2 linked regions of the Callithrix jacchus genome follow. Each later gene encodes a partner of the first gene's protein in a complex. Links are inferred from orthologs where the notes say so. Each region holds a gene or a part of one and is shown on either strand. Other genes may lie near its edges.

Evidence for each region.
Region 2: the proteins of FUZ (region 1) and CPLANE2 are in contact, whole or in part, in a cryo-EM structure (PDB 7Q3E), measured with the Mus musculus proteins. The link is inferred for Callithrix jacchus from reciprocal best matches to the Homo sapiens genes FUZ and CPLANE2. Residues at the interface, in NP_081652.2 of Mus musculus: Arg26, Arg35, Ile109, Val110, Lys126, Glu127, Arg129, Ala130, Tyr132, Cys133, Asp136, Gln215, Ala216, Ala217, Arg218, Asp219, Tyr220, Pro221, Tyr223, Pro232, Leu238, Thr239, Leu240, Leu241, Arg242, Pro255, Leu256, Gly257, Gln258, Pro261; in NP_001074643.1 of Mus musculus: Glu36, Gly38, Leu39, Leu40, Glu41, Arg42, Val83, His84, His85, Glu86, Thr88, Gly89, Ile90, Gln91, Thr92, Thr93, Val94, Lys124, Phe125, Met128, Glu134.

What each region holds. Positions count from the first base shown.
Region 1 is NC_133523.1:43,585,152-43,594,757, reverse strand, and holds the start of FUZ (protein fuzzy homolog), read left to right. Parts: upstream 1-4,656; 5' UTR 4,657-4,829; coding exon 4,830-4,940; intron 4,941-5,199; coding exon 5,200-5,321; intron 5,322-5,580; coding exon 5,581-5,665; intron 5,666-6,586; coding exon 6,587-6,655; intron 6,656-6,834; coding exon 6,835-6,939; intron 6,940-8,923; coding exon 8,924-9,121; intron 9,122-9,250; coding exon 9,251-9,346; intron 9,347-9,606. Other genes in the region: MED25 (mediator of RNA polymerase II transcription subunit 25), read right to left, coding at 1-40. UniProt on the Homo sapiens protein: Probable planar cell polarity effector involved in cilium biogenesis. May regulate protein and membrane transport to the cilium.
Region 2 is NC_133508.1:53,551,127-53,560,463, reverse strand, and holds the start of CPLANE2 (ciliogenesis and planar polarity effector 2), read left to right. Parts: upstream 1-3,325; 5' UTR 3,326-3,458; coding exon 3,459-3,461; exon of another isoform or gene 3,462-3,499; intron 3,500-3,730; coding exon 3,731-3,881; intron 3,882-6,926; coding exon 6,927-6,977; exon of another isoform or gene 6,978-7,059; coding exon of another isoform or gene 7,060-7,086; coding exon 7,087-7,194; exon of another isoform or gene 7,195-7,240; coding exon of another isoform or gene 7,241-7,286; intron 7,287-7,402; coding exon 7,403-7,555; intron 7,556-8,166; coding exon 8,167-8,291; intron 8,292-8,835; coding exon 8,836-8,972; intron 8,973-9,207; coding exon 9,208-9,337. UniProt on the Homo sapiens protein: Required for efficient primary cilia initiation, regulating a late step in cilia initiation. Plays a role in the final maturation of the mother centriole and ciliary vesicle that allows extension of the ciliary axoneme.

The sequences.
Region 1 (9,606 bases):
GGCCCCCGGCGCGGGCCGGGCCCTCGGACCCGGGGACCATACCCCGCGCGGAGGCCGCCACCGCCACTGCCGCCGCAGCCGACACCGCGGAATGAGGGGAAATGCGCCTGCGCTGCGCGCGCACCCGCGCCGGGCGGTTGAGGGCTGCTGGGAACGCACGGGCGGCCATATTTGTGCGGGGCACAGGTTGAGGCTTCGATCTAGCTCCATCCTCCTTCGCCCTAACCCGTGGAAGACTCAGCAAGGACATAGTTAGCCCTTTTGGGGGGCCTGATGGGTTAGACAAAATCATTGTCAGGATTGTCAAGAACGAAATAAGTTGAAGGCGGCACAGTCGGCTGCCATCTTTGAGCGGGGCGTCTGGGCCCGCCTATTAGCTCAATGGGAGGGGCAGGAGACCTGGTTGCTATGCAACACTAACGCTGCCCTTGTTTTCGTTTTCCTTTATCCTTTCCCCCCCCCCCCCCCCCCACGAGACGGACTCTCACTCTGTCGCCCACCCTGGAGGGGAACGGCGCGATCTCGGCTTACTACAAGCTCCGCCTCAGCCTCAGCCTCCCCAGGAGCTGGGATTACAGATGCCCACCACCATGCCCCGCTAATTTTTGTATTTTTCGTAGAGACGGAGTTTCACCATGTTGACCAGGCTGTCTCGAACTCCTGACCTCAAGTGATTCGCCAGCCTTGGATTCCTAAAGTGCTGGGATTACAGGCGTGAGCCACTGCGCCCGGCCCGCTGCCCTTGTTTTCTAACCATGAGATTAAGTTTCTGGTTCTGTTCTTTCGTGCGCGGGGACTGGGGGGAGGGACGCGAGAAGGGTCCAATCGCAATGGCGGAAACGAGGTTACTAGGCAACGCTTTAAGGTTGCCCTTAACTTGGAAGGGAGGATAGTAGTTTTCCTCCTGAAAAGAAGCTGAACACGAACCCAAGTGCAAGGGTTACTAAGCAACACCTGAGCGTTGTTTTCCGGGCGAGGAGCCAGAAACTAGCCTAGAACATAAATACATTCCAGGTGGATTAAGAACATAAGTGCAACAAATAAAACACGAAAATAGCTGAAGGAAAAAAATCCTAATGACTGCCATGAAGTTTCTCAGCAAAGTCAGAATACGTAAAATATTAATTTGTCCGCAAAAGATTGCATAAAGCAAGTTGAAACATATACCACGAACTGGAAAAATCTAGCGTGTTTGTTGACAGAAATGTACTACACAAATCTTACCGATGAATAACAGTATAGAAAAATAGAAACACTTCATTGTTTTTTTTTAAATTTTATTTTTTGAGACAGGGTCTCTGTTGTGCAGGCTGGAGTGCAGTGGCCATTGCAATCTTGGCTCATTGCAGCCTCTATTTCTCACACTGAAGCCACTGTCCTGCCTCTGCAGCAGCTAGGACCACAGCCACGCACCACCACTCCTGACTAATTTTTAATTTTTTTGTAGAGGTGGGGTCTCGCTATGTTGCCCTGGCCTGTTTCAAACTCTTGGGTTGAAGCGATACTCCCGCCTTGGCCTCCCAAAGAGCTGGGATTACAGGCGTGAGCCATGGTGTCCTGCTACTTTATATTTCTTTTTTTTTGAAACGGAGTTTCGCTCTTGTTACCCAGGCTGGAGTGCAATGGCGCGATCTTGGCTCACCGCAACCTCCGCCTCCTGGGTTCAGGCAATTCTCCTGCCTCAGCCTCCTGAGTAGCTGGGATTACAGGCACGCATCACCATGCCCAGCTAATTTTTGTATTTTTAGTAGAGACGGGGTTTCACCATGTTGACCAGGATGGTCTCGATATCTTGACCTCGTGATCCACCTGCCTCGTATATTTCTTTTAATAGAAAGGAACCTGACCAGGGCCGCACATCGTGGTTTACGCCTGTAATCCCATGACTTTGGGAACCGAGGTGCGCAGATCATGAGGTCAGGAGCTCGAGACCATCCTGGCCAATATGGTGAAATCTCGTCTCTACTAAAAATACAAAAATTAGCCGGCATAGTGGTGGGTGTCTGTAATCCCAGCGACTCAGGAGGCTGAGGTAGGAGAATCGCTTGAAACTGGGAGGGGGAAGTTGCAGTGAGGCGACATCGTGCCACTGCCCTCCAGCCTGGCGATAGAGCCAGATTCCATCTCAACAACAAAAAAAAACCATAATCTTCACCAATTGAAAAGTGCTTGCAGAAAGCCCAATGATATACCATTTTATCTTTATCATGTTACATTTTTTTTTTTCCACAAAAATATCACTCTGTCACCCAGGCTGGAGTGCAGTGGTGCTGTCTCGGCTCACTGCAGCCTCTGCTTCCTGGGTTGAAGTGATTATCCTCCCTCAACCTCCTAAGTAGCTGGGACTACAGGTATGCGCCACCACACCCCGCAAAAGTTTGTATTTTTGGTAGAGACAAGGTTTTACCTTCTTGGCCAGGCTGGTCTTGAACTCCTGACCTCAGGGGATGCACCTGCTTTGGCCTCCTAGAGTGCTAGAATTACAGGTGTGAGCCACTGCACCCAGCCTCCTGAAGCTTTTTTTTTTTTTTTTTTTTTTGAGACTCTGTCTCAAGACAAAAAAAAAAAAAAAAAAAGAGAGAGTCTTACTTGCTGAAGCCTTTTAAAGCAAATCAGTACAATCATATCATTTTACCCCTGTGTGCTTGGCAGGCATCTTTCCAATTTTATGAAAATATTTTTACATAACTAGTATGCCATTGTCACCTGTAACAAAATTAACTTGTTCCTTAGTATCATCTAAGTGTGTCATCGAATGTTCCAATTGTCCCAAAATGTGTTTTTACAACTGCTTGATTTGTATCAGGATCCAGACAAAGACCATACACATATTTAGACATCATGTCTCAAGTTTATTTTAATCTAGAACAGCTCCGTCCTTTTTTATGCCTGGGTAACTAAATTTTTAATAAAGATATAAAGAAAAGTGGCCGGGCACGGTGGCTCACGCCTATAATCCCAGCACTTTGGGAGGCCAAGGCGGGTGAATCACGAGGTCAAGAGATCGAGACCATCCTGGTCAACAGGGTGAAACCCCGTCTCTACTAAAAATACAAAAAATTAGCTGGGCACGGTGGCGCATGCCTGTAATCCCAGCTACTCGGGAGGCTGAGGGAGGAGAATTGCCTGAACCCAGGAGGCGGAGGTTGCAGTGAACTGAGATCACGCCATTGCACTCCAGCCTGGGTAACAAGAGCGAAACTCCATTTCAAAAAAAAAAAAAAAAAAGATCAATAGGCATAAAGGAAGATTAAAATGATATCTAGGCCAGGTGTGGTGGCTCCAGCCTGTAGTCTCCGCACTTTGAGAGGCCAATGTGGATGGCCTTGAGCCCAGGAGTTTGATAGCAGCCTGGGCAACATGGTGACACCCCATCTCTACAAAAAATACAAAAATTAGTCGGACATGGTGGTGCACACCTGTAATCCCAGCTACTCAGGAGGCTGAGGCAGGAGAATCGCTTGAACACGGGAGGCAGAGGTCGCAGCGAGCCGAGATCACGCCACTGTACTCCAGCCTGGGCGACAAAGCGAGACCCTGTCCCTTCCCCCAACCCCCCTTAAAAAGAAAGAAAACAATGTACTTTAGGAAGTAGAAAAGTTAAAAATTATGCTAGAAAGATGGGTTAATTTGCAAGAAGGACGAGGAAGGGCAAAATGAATCATAAACACATTTATAATTATAAGTAAACACTACCTGTATAAAATAATAAAAATATTTACAAGGGCATCTTAAAAAGTCACTAGTTGGCCGTCACTAGTTGGCCGGCACTAGCTGTTTAGTCCAGAGGCGTTCAACAACCTAATGTACATCAATACAGAATTGGTCAAATCAATTTGTTATAACCATAAAATAGATTATAAAATTACATTATTAAGATGAAACAGACATACTTTTTATGGGAAAAAATATGGAAATGTTGATATACTAATATTTGTGAAAACATTAATATTGTACGTTATATTGTATTTTAGGAAAAAAATTGGGGATGGGATATCTTCACATTGCACATGGTATGTTATCATGCATAATTCATTGCACAAATAATGTTATTTTTATCATTCTGGAAAATAAAGGATTTCCTTGTTTTCTTTTTTCTAATAACAAAAACAACCATCTATTTTGTTGGTTACTAGGCAACGCTCGCCGGACTCAACCACCCTCGAAAGTTGGGAGGGGAGACGGTGTTTTTCTAGATTTCGCCCTAAGGTGGGGTGGTCGGACTTCGATGTGCCGCCATCTTTGAGTAGGGCACAGCCGTTTACAGCCTTGGGAATGGAAATTAGACTGAATGGTGGTTGCTTGGCAACGCCCCACGGTCGCCGCTTTTGAGTAGGGCATACTGTTTACTACTACAAAATGGAAACGTAGACGGAATGTGGTTGCTAGGCAACGCCTTGGGACCGTGGCAATCTTTGATCGCGGCACAACTGTTTTTTTCCGTTTAGAATGTAAATCATCAAAGCCTACAGGATGGTGTATAAGCAAGGCCTTTGCGCAGTCATCATCTTCAATCCGGCCTCTTGGGTCTCCCTACCTCCTCGGAGAAACTGAAAAGCTTTGCAAATTCAATTAGCCGCCATCTTTGTTAGGGGTACTATAACTTCCGGCTGGGGCGGAAGAGAACCTAACAGGTTTGGGGGAGGTGCCTAAATAGGGTTTGAGGGTCCGAGTTGGATGAAGAAGGCGGGAAGTTAATCCTGTTCCAGTCAGCTCCCCATCTCGCCCTCTGGCGGCTCCCGACCACAGGCCGAGTTACTGTGATTGCCGGCATGCTCCAAGACCGGCACTGACAGTCCCCACGTGGGGGGCTGCGGTGGGAGTCCTAAATGGGGGAGGAAGGGACGGGCGGCACCGTGCATCTGCTGTGCCTCGCGGCCTCCAGCGGGGTCCCCCTGTTCTGCAGGAGCAGCCGCGGCGGCGCCCCCGCCCGTCAGCAGGTGGGGCCTTGGACGCCTGTATCTAAACCGAAGGGGGTTCGGTGTTTTGGGTCTTCAAGGCAGTAGGGGCTGGGGAAGTTTCAGTATTGAGTTTGTAGGACCGAGGAGACAATGGACCAGTAATCCTGGTTCCCCAAAGAGACACTGCCAGGACATAGGGAAAGAGGATGGGGCTGGGAGCTGGCATACGTGGGTTCCAAAAAGGAGGGGATGGCCGGGGGAGGGGGGCTACTGTCTGATGTCCCTAACTCCTCCTTAGCTCCCGTTCTCTGTCATCGGTTCCCTCAATGGAGTCCACATGTTCGGGCAGAATCTGGAGGTGCAGCTGAGCTCTGCAAGGACCGAGAATACGACCGTGGTGTGGAAAAGCTTCCATGACAGGTCCCCAGGCGGGAACATGGGACAGGGACAGGGCCTGGGTTATAGTCTTTGTAGAAGATGACCTCTGAGGTCTTCCAGCTGTTAATTTGGCTATGGGATCTTTAGCAAGCTAGTTACCTCTTTGATCCCCGCTGTTCTCTATAAGAAAGGCCGAGGGAGGATGTATCTGGCATTCTAGGATCAGTGGGCAGACTCCAACATACCCCTTCCTGGTTCCCCAGGCCTTGACTCGTTCTTCCTTCTCACTTCCACTCCACAGCATCACCCTCATTGTTCTGTCATCTGAGGTGGGCATCTCTGAGCTGAGGCTGGAGAGACTACTACAAATGGTGTTTGGAGCCATGGTGAGAATCCCCAATCCTCTTTTCTCCCCAGACCAGGAATCTGAGATCTCAGCATCCAGCATCCTTTTCCCTCAGACCTAGGAGTCCAGACCACCAAAGTTCACTTCCTCCCTCAAAAACCAGAAATGTTTTTTTGGGTTCAGGCAATTCTCCTGCCTCAGCCTCCTGAGCAGCTGGGATTACAGGCACGCGCCACCATGCCCAGCTAATTATTTCTATTTTTAGTAGAGACGGGGTTTCACCATGTTGACCAGGATGGTCTCGATCTCTGGACCTTGTGATCCACCCGCCTTGGCCTCCCAAAGTGCTGGGATTACAGTCTTGAGCCACCGCGCCCGGCCTTTTTTTTTTTTTTTTGAGATGGAGTCTTGCTCTGTTGCCCAGGCTGGAGTGCAGTGGCCTGATCTTGGCTCGCTGCAACCTCTGCCTCCCAGGTTCAAGTGACTCTCATGCCTCAGCTTCCTGAGTAGCTGGGATTACAGGTACATACCACCATGCCCAGCTAATTTTGGGGGGTTTTTTGTTTTTTGAAGACGGGGTTTCACCATGTTGGTCAGGCTGGTCTTGAACTCCCACCTCAGGTGATCCGCCTGCCTTGGCCTCCAAAGTGCTTGGATTACAGGTGTGAGCCACCAGGCCTGGCCTTTTTGTATTTTTTGTAGAGATGAGGTTTCACCATGTTGGCTAGGCTGATTTGAAACTCCCAACCTCAAGTGATCCGTGCATCTCGGCCTCCCAAAGTGCTGGGATTACAGGCATGATCCACCGCGCTCTGCCAGAACCCAGGAATCTTGACCCCCAAGACCCAGGAGTGGGAGTCCCAGCCCCCTCTTCCTTCAGACCCAGGAGTTTGAGTCCAAGCCCCTCCTCTCTGAGAACCAGTTGCCCAGGGCCCTTTCCCCCCTTATGTGGTTCTTCTAGGTCCTTCTTGTGGGACTTGAAGAACTGACCAATATCCGCAACGTGGAGAGACTGAAGAAGGACTTAAGGGTGAGGCTGCAGGACATGAGGGTGGGAAGTTAGGATACCTGAGCACTGCCATTTGGAAACTACAGTTCCCAGCAGTCCCTGGGGCAGCCTGGTCCCACAGGTTCTTGGGGCAAGTTGGTTGTCTGACCCTGGCCCTGGGTCCACCTGAATCCTAGGCTGGTCCCTTCTTCCTCTGCTAGGCCAGTTACTGCCTGATCGACAGCTTCCTAGGGGATTCGGAGCTCATCGGGGACCTGACCCAGTGTGTAGACTGTGTGATTCCTCCAGAGGGGACCCTCTTGCAGGTACTGGGGATGCTATGGAAACTCTTACACCTGTTCCTCTGGCCCTGGCTGAGTCCTCATCCTCTTTCTTCTGGACCATTGTCCCAACCTTCTCCTATCCTCTCAGCTTCCAGTCCTGTCCCACATGGTCCCAGAAGAATCTTTCTTTTCCTTTTTTTTTTTTTTGAGACAGAGTCTCGCACTGTCGTCCATGCTATAGTGCAGTGGTGAGATCTCGGCTCACTGCAGTCTCTGCCTCCTGGGTTCAAGCCATTCGCCTGCCTCAGCCTCCCAAGTAGCTGGGACTACAGGTGTGTGCCACCATGCCCAGCTAATTTTTTAGTAGGGATGGTATTTCACCATGTTGGCCAGGATGGCCTCGATCTCCTGACCTTGTGATCCTCCCACCTTGGCCTCCCAAAGTGCTGGGATTACAGGCGTGAGCCACCATGCCTGGCCTTTTTCTTTCTTGTTTCACTCTTATTGCCCAGGCTGGAGTGCAATGGCACAATCTCAGCTCACTACAGCCTCTGCCTCCAAGGTTCAAGTAATTCTTCTGCCTCAGCCTCCCGAGTAGCTGGGATTACAGATGCTTACTGCCACGCCTGGCTAATTTTTTGTATTTTTAGTAGAGATGGGGTTTCGACATGTTGGCCAGGCTGGTCTCAAACTCCTGACCTCAAGTGATCTGCCTGCCTCAGCCTCCCAAAGTGCTGGGATTACAGGCATGAGCCATTGTGCCTAGCTATCTCTCTTTTCTAAGATAGGATCTTGCTCTGTGGTCCAGGCTGGAGCGCAGTGGCTCCGTCATAGCTCACTGAAACCTTGAATTCCTAGATTCAAGTGATCCTCTCATCTCAGCCTCCCCAGTAGCTGAGACTACAGGCACGTGCCACCACATTCAGCTACTTTTTTTTTAAGAGATGGGCTGGGGTTGGGGACAGTTGTCTCACTAAGTTGCCCAGGCTGGTCTCAAACTCCTGGGCTCAAGAAATCCTCCCACCTTGGCCTCCAAAGTGCTAGGATTACAGGTGTGAGCCATCACAGCCTGCCACCAGAAGAATCCTACTATACCCAGAGCTGGCCCTACCCCTTTCCTGCTGACAGCCCTCTGGCAGCCTCCACCTTCCCAAGGACCAGGTCCAGCCCCTCAGCCTTGTGTTTGAAGGCCTGTGGCACATGGCGCCCCCTAGCCTGTTGCTAAATCCACAATCTACCTTCATCCAGCTGCCTCAGGGGCCCCAGAGATCCCAACAACTTTCCAGTCTGGGTACATGCTCTTCCTCCCACCTCTCGGATCTCTAGCTTCCACTGCTTAAATACCGCTCTTGCAGACTTGCCTGGTGTGGGCACCTCCCAGCAGTGTGACTTCTCAGCAGGTGACTTGGCTTCTCCACGTTGCTGATGGTGCTTACCGGGCATGTAACAGGACTCTATGAACGGTAGCTGCTGCAGTTACGTTAATTAGCTTCAGTTTGCCCACTAAGGCTAGGCGGTTTTTTTTTAAGATGGAGTCTCGCTCTGTCACCAGGCTGGGGTGCGGTGGCACAGTCTCGGCTCACTGCAACCTCCGCCTCCCAGGTTCAAGCGATTCTCGTGCCTCTGCCTCCCACGTAGCTGGAACTACAGGTGTGCACCACCACACCCAGCTAATTTTTGTATTTTTAGTAGAGATGGGGTTTTATTCTGTTGGCCAGGATGGTCTTGATCTCTTGACCTCGTGATCCACCCGCCTTGGCCTCCCAAACTGCTGGGATTACAGGCGTGAGCCACCGAGGTCCGGCCCAGGCGAGGTGTTTAATCAGACTTCACAGTGTGAGCTGGGGATGTGACTTCGTGTGAAGATGAAGGAACTCAGGCTCTGAGAGGGTGAGGTGCAGCAGCATGGCCACTCCGCGAGCTCGGCTGGCCGTGGGTCTCTGTCCATCCCCTGCCCACCTGGGAAGTCGCTGCCGCCGCCTGTGCGTCTCTGCTGACTCCTGGTCCTCCTGCCTCCCTTACCCAGGAAGCCCTCTCCGGGTTCGCTGAGGCAGCGGACACGGCCTTCGTCAGTCTGGTGGTGTCGGGCCGGGTGGTGGCGGCAACAGAGGGTTGGTGGCGGCTGGGGATGCCCGAGGCCGTGCTGCTCCCCTGGCTGGTGGGGTCCCTGCCGCCGCAGACCGCTCGCGACTACCCGGTGTACCTGCCGCACGGGAGCCCCACGGTGAGTGGGTGGGGCGGGCAGGGGGAGGTGAGCGGAGGGATGGGACCTGCGGACCAAGTCGCGAGGAGGCGGGATCTGCGATGGAAAGGGCCGGGGCCGCGGTCAGTCCCAGCCTGTGCCCTGCTTCAGATCCCACACCGGCTCCTGATGCTGACGCTGCTGCCAAGCCTGGAGCTGTGTCTGCTCTGCGGACCGAGCCCACCCCTCAGCCAGTTGTATCCACAGGTGAACCCGCTCCACGTCCCGCTTTCCCCCTTAGGACACTCTCTACCCGCAAGGCCCTTACCCCACCACGCTGCCCTGCCAGTGGCTTTTTTCCCGGACCCGTCCTGGACTGCGCGCCAATCAATTCCCCAAGATCGGCCAATCACGCGTGGCCTCTGTGCTTGCAAGCCTCGCCCCTTCCCTAGTCCCCTCTGCCCTCCGCCCTCCTCTTTTCGTGTACGCCCCACCCCTCCCGATTGACCGCGCCCCTTCGTGCCTCT
Region 2 (9,337 bases), on another chromosome or scaffold:
GGTCATGTCCAGCTTGACCAAGGCTGCTCATCTGCACTTTACATTCCAATATATGTTGTGGGAGTGTCCTCTCTGGGCAGCCTCCCCCACTCCCTTACTCCCTAGGGGCTCCTCCTCTGACCCTGCGCACTTCCCCTCCTTCCTCCACAGTTAGGGGCACCATGATCTGTCCATTCACCTGGGAGTCATCCCAGGCTCAGGTGATCTGAGGACAAAGAATTGACCACTGGGATTGGCGGTGAGGCCGGTGCCCTTGTTTGTTTTTGAGCCGAAGTCTTTCTCTGTCACCCAGGCTGGACTGCAGTGCTGTAATCTTGGCTCACTGCAACCTCTGCCTCCTGGGTTCAGGAGATTCTCCTGCCTCAGCCTGCCGAGTAGTTGGGATTACAGGTGCATGCCACCACAGCTAGATAATTTTTGAATTTTTAGTAGAGATGGGTTTCACTATGTTGCCCAGGCTGGTCTTGAACTCCTGACCTCAAGTGATCTGCCCACCTCAACCTCCCAAAGTGCTGGGATTGCAGGCAGGAGCCACTGTGCCCAGCCCCAAGATGACTTTACATCTTCTCCGGCTTCCAGATTAACAGGCACGCTCATTCTGCCAAGCCGGTTCATTTTCTCACATGCTCACTGAACCCTCCACAAGCCAAGGACAGGGCTGGATGTGAAGTCTGGAAACCCAGAGATAATTCAGATCTGAGCCCTGCCACTGAGTCACTCCTGGCCCATGGAGAGAGCTCTGCACAGCTGTGAATCTCCCTGACTGGGTAGATGTGGTGACAGCTGCAGGAAGGGGAACCATGTGACCTGGGAATATGGGCAAAGGATTCCAGCTGCAGAATCCTGTAGGAATGGTTGTCTTGTTCTGCCTGGCCACAGAGTGAGCAAGTTGAGAGAAAGCACCTTGTCTTACACGTCCCCTCTCTTAGACATAATTGTCCTTAAAAAATTTGTGAGTTAGGCCGGGCGTGGTGGCTCAAGCCGGTAATCCCAGCACTCTGGGAGGCCGAGGCGGGTGGATCACGAGGTCAAGAGCTCGAGACCATCCTGGTCAACATGGTGAAACCCCATCTCTACTAAAAATACAAAAAATTAGCTGGGTATGGTGGCGCGTGCCTGTAATTCCAGCTACTCAGGAGGCTGAGGCAGGAGAATTGCCTGAACCCAGGAGGTGGAGGCTGCGGTGAGCCGAGATCGCACCATTGCACTCCAGCCTGGGTAACAACAGCGAAACTCCGCCTCAAAAAAAAAAAAAATTTGTGAGTTAGCTGGGCGCGGTGGCTCACAGCTGTAATCCCAGCACTATTGGAGGCCGAGGCAGGCAGATCATGAGGTCAGGAGTTTGAGACCAGCCTGACCAACATGGTGAAACCCCATCTCTACTAAAAATGCAAAAATTAGCCAGGTGTGGTGGCACTCGCCTGTAATCCCAGCTACTCAGGAGGCTAACATAGGAGAATCGTCTGAACCCAGGAGGCAGTGGTTACAGTGAGCTGAGAACGCGCCACTATTCCACTCCAGCCTGGGTGACAGAGTGAGACTCCGTCTCAAAAAAAAAAAAAAAATCTGTGAGTTTGTGGTCCTCTGGCTGCTTCTGCTTCCCTAGGGACAGCCCTTCTAGTGGCTGGGGATAAAGTTTTAAAAACAAAACCCGGCTGGGCACAGTGGCTCACACCTGTAATCCCAGCACTGGGAGGCCATCGTGGGCAGATCACTTGAGGTCAGGAGTTTGAGACCAGACTGCGCAATATGGTGAAATCCCGTCTCTACTAAAAATACAAAAATTAGCTGGTCATGGTGGTGCATGCTGGTAATCCCAGCTACTCGGGAGGCTGAGGCAGGAGAACAGCTTGAACCTGGGAGGTGGAGGTTGCTGTGAGCCAAGATTGTGCCACTGTACTCCAGCCTGGGCGACAGAGGAAGACTCAACAAAACAAAACAAACAAACAAAATACACAAAAACCCAAACTGGCAGAAAAGATAAGTACTTTAGAGTCAGGTAACCGTGGGTTCTTTTTTTTTTTGACAGGGTCTGGCTCTGTCACTCAGGCTGAAGTGCACTGAAGTGCAGTGGCATGATCTCAGCTCACTGCAACCTCCACTTCCCAGGCTCAAGCAGTCCTCCCATCTCAGCCTCTGAGTAGCTGGGACTTCAGGCGTGCACCACTTTGCCCGGCTAATTTTTGTATTTTTGGTAGAGACAGGGTCTTACTATGTTGCCCAGGTTGGTCTTGAACTCTTGAGCTTAAGCAATCTGTCTGCCTTGGCTTCCCAAAGTGCTGGGATTACAAGCATGAGCCACCATACCAGCCAGCTGTGAGTTCTGAGTCATTTTCACACTGACTAGCTGTGTCGTGTGACCTCAGACAAGTCATGTTATGTTTCTGAATGTTGTCATCAGTGAAAGAGGGTAATACAATTTACACAGGTTTGTTTATAGAATTAAATCAGGTGACTCTGTAAAGCCCCAACTGTCTGGCACTTAAGTGGCCTTCAGTAAAGCTTAATTCCTAGATTATTTCTTTCAAAACAGTGATTTGCCCTACGTGAAGGCATTGCAAGAAGATAGTGGTAAAAAATCAAATGTAATAGACAAACTCTCAGTAATGACCCACCTGCACCCTTTCCAACCAATGGGCATATACTGGGCACCCACCTTCTGGGTAACAGGCCTGGTGTCCAGTGCTGGAACAGTGGAGAGGCGCTCAGAGGTTCAGAGCTGAAAAGTCGGCTCCAGGAGGGCAGGGACTTCTTGTTGGCCGTTGTATCCCCAGCCCTTAGAATAGGCCAGGAACATAGTAGGTGCTCAGTATTTGTTGAATGAATGAATGAATGAAAAGTAAAATCCAGTGGGCCTCTGACTCATTTTTAAAAACTTGAGCCAAGTCCCTTGACCTCTCTGAGCTGGTGTGTGTCCCCATCAGTGAAGCCAGATGTGTTTAAGTCATCTCGAGGTCCTGCTGAGCAGAATTAATAGAGCAATAATATTAATAATAGCAACAGTCATAATCAAACATATGGAGCACAGCTATGGAGGGAATAACATGTTACGTCCACGTTATAGAAGAAGAAACTGAGACATAGGCAAGGAAGGCTCCTGGAGAAGCGGGCGTTTCATGATGTTTTGGAAGAACGACTGGGGATCGGACGTAGTAATAGAGAAGAGGATCCACGACCCAGAGGAAAAGGCCTTGTCCCAGTGCCATCGCGCCGCGCTGGCTGCGGACATTGTAGGAGGGACGAACGCCGCCCGGAACCCGCCCAACCCAGCCTCCGGCATCTCCATGGCAACAACCTCCGCACATGCGCCGCGAGCACCCGCGCCGGAGCTGGCAGCGCGCGCCGAAGCCCGACGCAGGCAGGGCGGAAGCGGGACCGGTGGGCTGGGACGGCTGGAGCGCGGGTGGGCGTTTAAAGGGGCCTTCGGCACCCGGTTCGGTTCGCCGCCGGGACTGCTGATGGTGAGGGCTAGGTGGCCCCGGGAATCGGGATCTAGAAGGTAGAGGAGAAGCAGGGGCGTCTGACCCCCGGAGGTGACAAGGGGAGACGGGCTGTGTAAATACCCTCCCTGGGCAGTAATGGGATGACTGTCCCCAGGGATCACTGCGGAGGAGAGAGGGGGCTGTAGGACCGCAGTTTCTGGGGTCCCCCGGGAGAGTCAGAGGGCAGTTAAGAGGGATCTCAGGACCGGCTTGGGACGGTCACCCCTCTTTCCACTGCCTGCTCTCAGCATTCCTGCCACCTCCCTACCCCATCGCGGTGCCCAGCCATGGCCAGACCTCCCGTGCCCGGTTCGGTGGTTGTCCCAAACTGGCACGAGAGTGCCGAGGGCAAGGAGTACCTGGGTTGCATTCTGCGCAAGAACCGCCGGCGGGTGTTTGGTAAGTGCCTCCCCCTTTCCTCCAGCCTGTTACTTGTCTCCCTGGGGAGCAGAGTATCATCTGTTGCTCCCTGAGTGGAGCAGAGAGGCAGGACAGTGAGGGCCTGCTCCACTGCAGTCTTCAACAGTCTTCAGCCTGGGAAACTGAAAGCCCTATCCCTGGGACCCCCACCCCTAAATCTCCTTAGAGATAATTCCATCATCACAGCCAGGAACATGGAAACAGCAGAAACCCTGTCAGCAACCACTGTCACCAGATATGCAGTTGACTGAGCCCTCCCCTCGTGTCAGGGCTTCTTTTGGGCACTTTACACAGTGCACTCCCATTTAACCTCTCAACAGCACATGGTACAGACTTGGCTAATATCATACCCTAATAAGTAGAGGTGAGCCACTTCCATGTCCTGCTGTCTCTGGGATGAGACACACTGGTGTTCCCCACGGTGAAGCTGACTTGCCCACGCAGGACCCGGCTGTGAGGCTGCCAGAGGTACCTGGAATGAGCTATGGAGTCCAGTTCTGGCCAGGAGAAGCAAGGCACCAGAAGGCTTCAGACCAGAGAGTGAGATAGCTAGAACCAAAATTTGTGAATATGTCAACAGTGTGTTTTTTTAAAGAAATTGCTCTAGATTGAAAATATGACCCTCTGGAAGGCCGGGCGCAGTGGCTCACACCTGTAATCCGAGCACTTTGGGAGGCTGAGGAGGGTAGATCACCTGAGTTCAGGGGTTCAAGACCAGCCTGGCCAACATGGCGAAACCCTGTCTTTACTAAAAATACAAAAATTAGCTGGGCATGGTAGCAGGCACTTACAATCCCAGCTACTCTGGAGGCTGAGGCAGGAGAATCACTTGAACCTGGGAGGTGGAGGTTGCAGTGACCCTAGATGGAGCCATTGCACTCCAGCCTGGGCGACAGGAGCAAAACTCTCAAAAAAAAAAAAAAAAAAAAAAAAAAACCCTCTAATATGGCTACTGTCCCTCTAATCCCATGATGGCTGGTAGCACTGCATTTGGGGTCACGCACACCCAGGCAAGTGACCCAGGCTCCACCACTGCCTAGCTGTGTGACTGGGAATAAGTGAACTCTAGCCTCAAGTCCCACCTCTGTAAAATGGGGATAATCATAGTATTTACCCCATAGAGTTGCTGGGGAAATTCCTAAGGAGTGTGTTTGTAACACACTGAGCAGGCTGTGGCATGCAGTGGGTGTTCACGGAAGGTTGGCGGTTACTGTATTCATTTTGTGTTTGTGTTGAGTGGAAGAGAATTGAGTGAAGGTTGAGCTGATTTTCTGGGCACATCATAGAACCCACTGACCATATTATCTATGCCACAGATAGGATCAAGCAGCCATAACATAGAGGAATGGCAGTGGTGGCTTTGAATTTTTTTTTTTTTTTAGACAGAGTTTTGCTGTTGTTACCCAGACTGGAGTGCAATGGCACGATCTCGGCTCACCGCCACCTCCGCCTCCTGGGTTCAAGCAATTCTCCTGCCTCAGCCTCCCGAGTAGGGTGCGCACCACCATGCCCAGCTAATTTTTGTATTTTTAGTAGAGATGGGGTTTCACCTTGTTGACCAGGATGGTCTCGATCTCCTGATCTCGTGATCCACCCGCCTCAGCCTCCCAAAGTGCTGGGATTATAGGCGTGAGCCACTGCACCTGGCCCTGAATTTTTGTGTTTTTACTTTACCTGCAGACATCTGGGGGGTTTTGTTAACACTTGAATGTGTCGTTCAGTGGTTGTCATGCAGGCCCCACAACAAACGTTGAGAGCTGCTAGTAAATATCAACAGACTGACTATAACTTAGGCCAGTCTCTTTGTATCTCAGACTTCTGTAAAATTGGGATGAGTATTAAGAACGACAGATGGGGCCGGGTGCGGTGGCTCACACCTGTAATCCCAGCACTTTGGGAGGCCAAGGTGGGCGGATCACCTGAGGTAGGGAGTTCAAGACCAGCCTGACCAACGTGGAGAAATCCCATCTCTACTAAAAATACAAAATTAGCCGGGCATGGTGGTGTCTGCCTGTAATCTCAGCTACTCTGTGGTTGAGGTAGGAGAATCACTTGAACCCGGGAGGCGGAGGTTGCGGTGAGCCGAGATCACACCATTGCACTCCAGCCTGGGCAACAAGAGTGAAACTCCGTCTCAAAAAAAAAAAAAAAAAAAAAGAACCACAGATGGTTGGTTAGCCCTGAAGAAGCCATTAGAAATGAGGTTGTCCTTGGCTGTGTGTGGTATAGTCCTAGCACTCTGGGAGGTCAGGCAAGGTGGGAAGAGTGCTTGAGCCCAGGAGTTCAAGACCAGCCTGAGCAACATAGTAAAACCCCCATTCCTATTAAAAATAAAAGGTGGCCGGGCACAGTGGCTCATGCCTGTAATCCCAGTACTTTGGGAGGCCAAGGCTGGTGGATCACAAGGTCAGGAGATTGAGACCATCTTGGCTAACACAGTGAAACCTCATCTCTTTTTTTTTTTTTTTTTTTTTTGAGACAGAGTCCTGCTCTGTCACTAGGCGCCAGGCTGGAGTGCAGTGGCGCGATCTTGGCTCACTGCAACCTCTGCCTCCTGGGTTCAAGCAATTCTCCTGCCTCAGTCTCCCGAGTACAGGGATTACAGATGCATGCCACCACGCCCAGCAAATTTTTATATTTTAGTAGAGATCGCGCCACTGCATTCCAGCCTGGGCAACAGAGCGAGACTCCATCTCAAACAAAACAAAGGTAAAGAAAAAAATAAATAAATGAAGATTGTCCAGCCTAGCATCTGATGGGGAACGTACAGGACTGACCCCCTATCTTAGTCCATTTTATGCTGCTATAACAGAATAAACACACTCTTGGTTGTTTATTTATATTTTTTTGAGATGGAGTCTCACTCTGTTGCCCAGGCTGGAGTGCAGTGATATGATCTCGGCTCACTGCAACTTCCACTTCCCAGGTTCAAGTGATTCTCCTGGCTTAGCCTCCCAAGTAGCTGAGATTGCAGGCACCCACCCCTACCCCCAGCTAATTTTTTGTACTTCTTTTTTTATATAGAGATGGAGTTTCACCATGTTGGCCAGGCTGGTCTCCAACTCCTGAACTCAGGTCCTCTGCCCACATTGGCCTCCCAAAGTGCTGAGATTACAGGTGTAAACCACCGCACCCAGCCTCCTCTGGGAAATTTATAATGAATAGAAGTTTATTTGGCTCACAGTTCTGGAGGCTGGGAAGTGTAAGAGCATGGCAGCATCATCTGGAAAGGGCCTTCATGCTGTGCCATCCCGTGGCAGAAGGCAGAAGTGTGACAGCAAGACAGCAAGAGGTGCCCAAACTGGCTTTTATAACAAACCCACTCCTTCAATAACAACATGGATCCATTTGTGAGGGTAGAACACTTGAGCTCATCACCTCTTGGTAGGCCCTACCTCAACACTGTTGCATCGGGGATTAAGTTTCTCATACGTGAACTTTGGGGGACACCTTCAAACCACGGCACCCCTTGACTCTGCCTGGCTCCCTCTTTGCTCCAGGACTGCTTGAGCGGCCAGTGCTGCCACCGCCTGTGTCCATTGACACTGCCAGCTACAAGATCTTCGTGTCCGGGAAGAGTGGTGTGGGCAAGACGGCGCTGGTGGCCAAGCTGGCTGGCCTGGAGGTGCCTGTGCTACACCACGAGACCCCCGGTGAGTGCAACCTCAATCCTTTGCCCATCCTGGGAGGCCCTCCTTGTGGTGGGGGCAAGAACCTGGCCCTGGACCACACAAGCCAGGGTCGATACCCAGCTCCACATCCTACTCTGTAGCCTTGGAAAGTCACTCCACCTCTCTGAGCCTCCATGGGCTTCTCAGTCCCAAGGGGATACTAGTACCTACCCCACAGGGTTGTCGTGTGGTTGCTAGAGGTACTGGTGGTAACATCCCTAGCATCAAGCTAGGCTCAAGGTAGATACTCAGGAAATGCTAATCTTGCTTTCTTGTTTCTTACCACTGGATGTTGATTGATCCACCCTGTTGAAACATGCCCAGTGTCCTGGGACCTTTGGTCTCCCTGCATATACAAACAAAACTGCTTTGCCATGGCTGGGACTACATCTTCCTGCTATGCCAGAGGCTCCTCCAGGGCCAGTCTCTGTTTCTCCCATCAGACTGAGAATTCTCCCAGGTCAAGGACTGTGCCTCCCTCATCAAAGGGAGGACCCCTCAGGGCAGGGACGTATCTCCTCCTATTCCTTCCTGCCCCCAGTCCTCCATCTCCACCCCTCCCATGCTGAATGGCTGATCCTGGCTCCCCTCAGGCATCCAGACCACCGTGGTATTTTGGCCAGCCAAGCTGCAGGCCAGCGACCGTGTCGTCATGTTTCGTTTTGAGTTCTGGGACTGTGGAGAGTCTGCGCTCAAAAAGTTCGATCACATGCTGCCGGTGAGCAGGCATGTGGGCCTGGGTGGGCTCTGCCAGGGGCCGATTGGGTATTAATGAGCTCAAGGCACTGGCTGGGTATGGTGGCTCACGCCTGGAATCCCAGCACTTTGGGAGGCTGACGCGGGCAGATCACCTGAGGTTGAAAGTTTGAGACCAGCCTGACCAACATGGAGAGACCCTGTCTCTACTAATGATACAAAAAGTTAGCCAGGCGCCTGTAATCCCAGCTACTTGGGAGGCTGAGGCAGGAGAATCACTTGAACCTGGGAGGTGGAGGTTGCAGTCAGCATTGCACTCCAGCCCGGGCAACAGGAGCAAAACTCCATCTCAAAAAAAAAAAAAGAGCTCAAGGCCCTGCCTTGGGAGATAGAGATCTGAGCTGGCACTGGGGACTGAGTCCCAGCCCATGCTCGTCCTAGGACCAGCCACATCGTGCTCTGGGCCTCAGTTTCCCAACCTGTGAAAGGAGGGATTATTCCCGATTCTTCTCAGGGCCCTGCAGCTGATGGGAGGGTGTCACAGTTATATGCCTCTCCGTCGCCAGGCTTGCAAGGAGAACACAGATGCCTTCCTCTTCCTTTTCTCCTTCACTGACCGTGCCTCCTTTGAAGACCTCCCTGGACAGCTGGCCCGCATAGCAGGTGAAGCCCCTGGTGTCATCAGGATGGTCATCGGCTCCAAGTATCCTTTGGGTAGCCTCTGGGGCTGTCAGAGGCCACCCTTGGCAAGTCAGGGAGCAAGGGGATCAGGGGCCTGGCCTCTGCCCAGGTGTGGAATTCAGCACCTGGGCTTTTACTTAAAGGGTACCACATGGCTAGCCCGGCTCCTGGGTGCGGGCTCCAGGGTGGAGGGAGAGGCGGGGTCTGATGGGGGTGTGTGCAGAGGCACCTGGCCAGGCTTCTTGACCCTCCTCCAGATTTGACCAGTACATGCACACAGACGTGCCTGAGCGGGACCTCATAGCCTTCCGGCAGGCCTGGGAGCTGCCCCTGCTACGGGTGAAGAGTGTGCCAGGGCGGCGGCTGGCTGATGGGCGCACGCTGGAT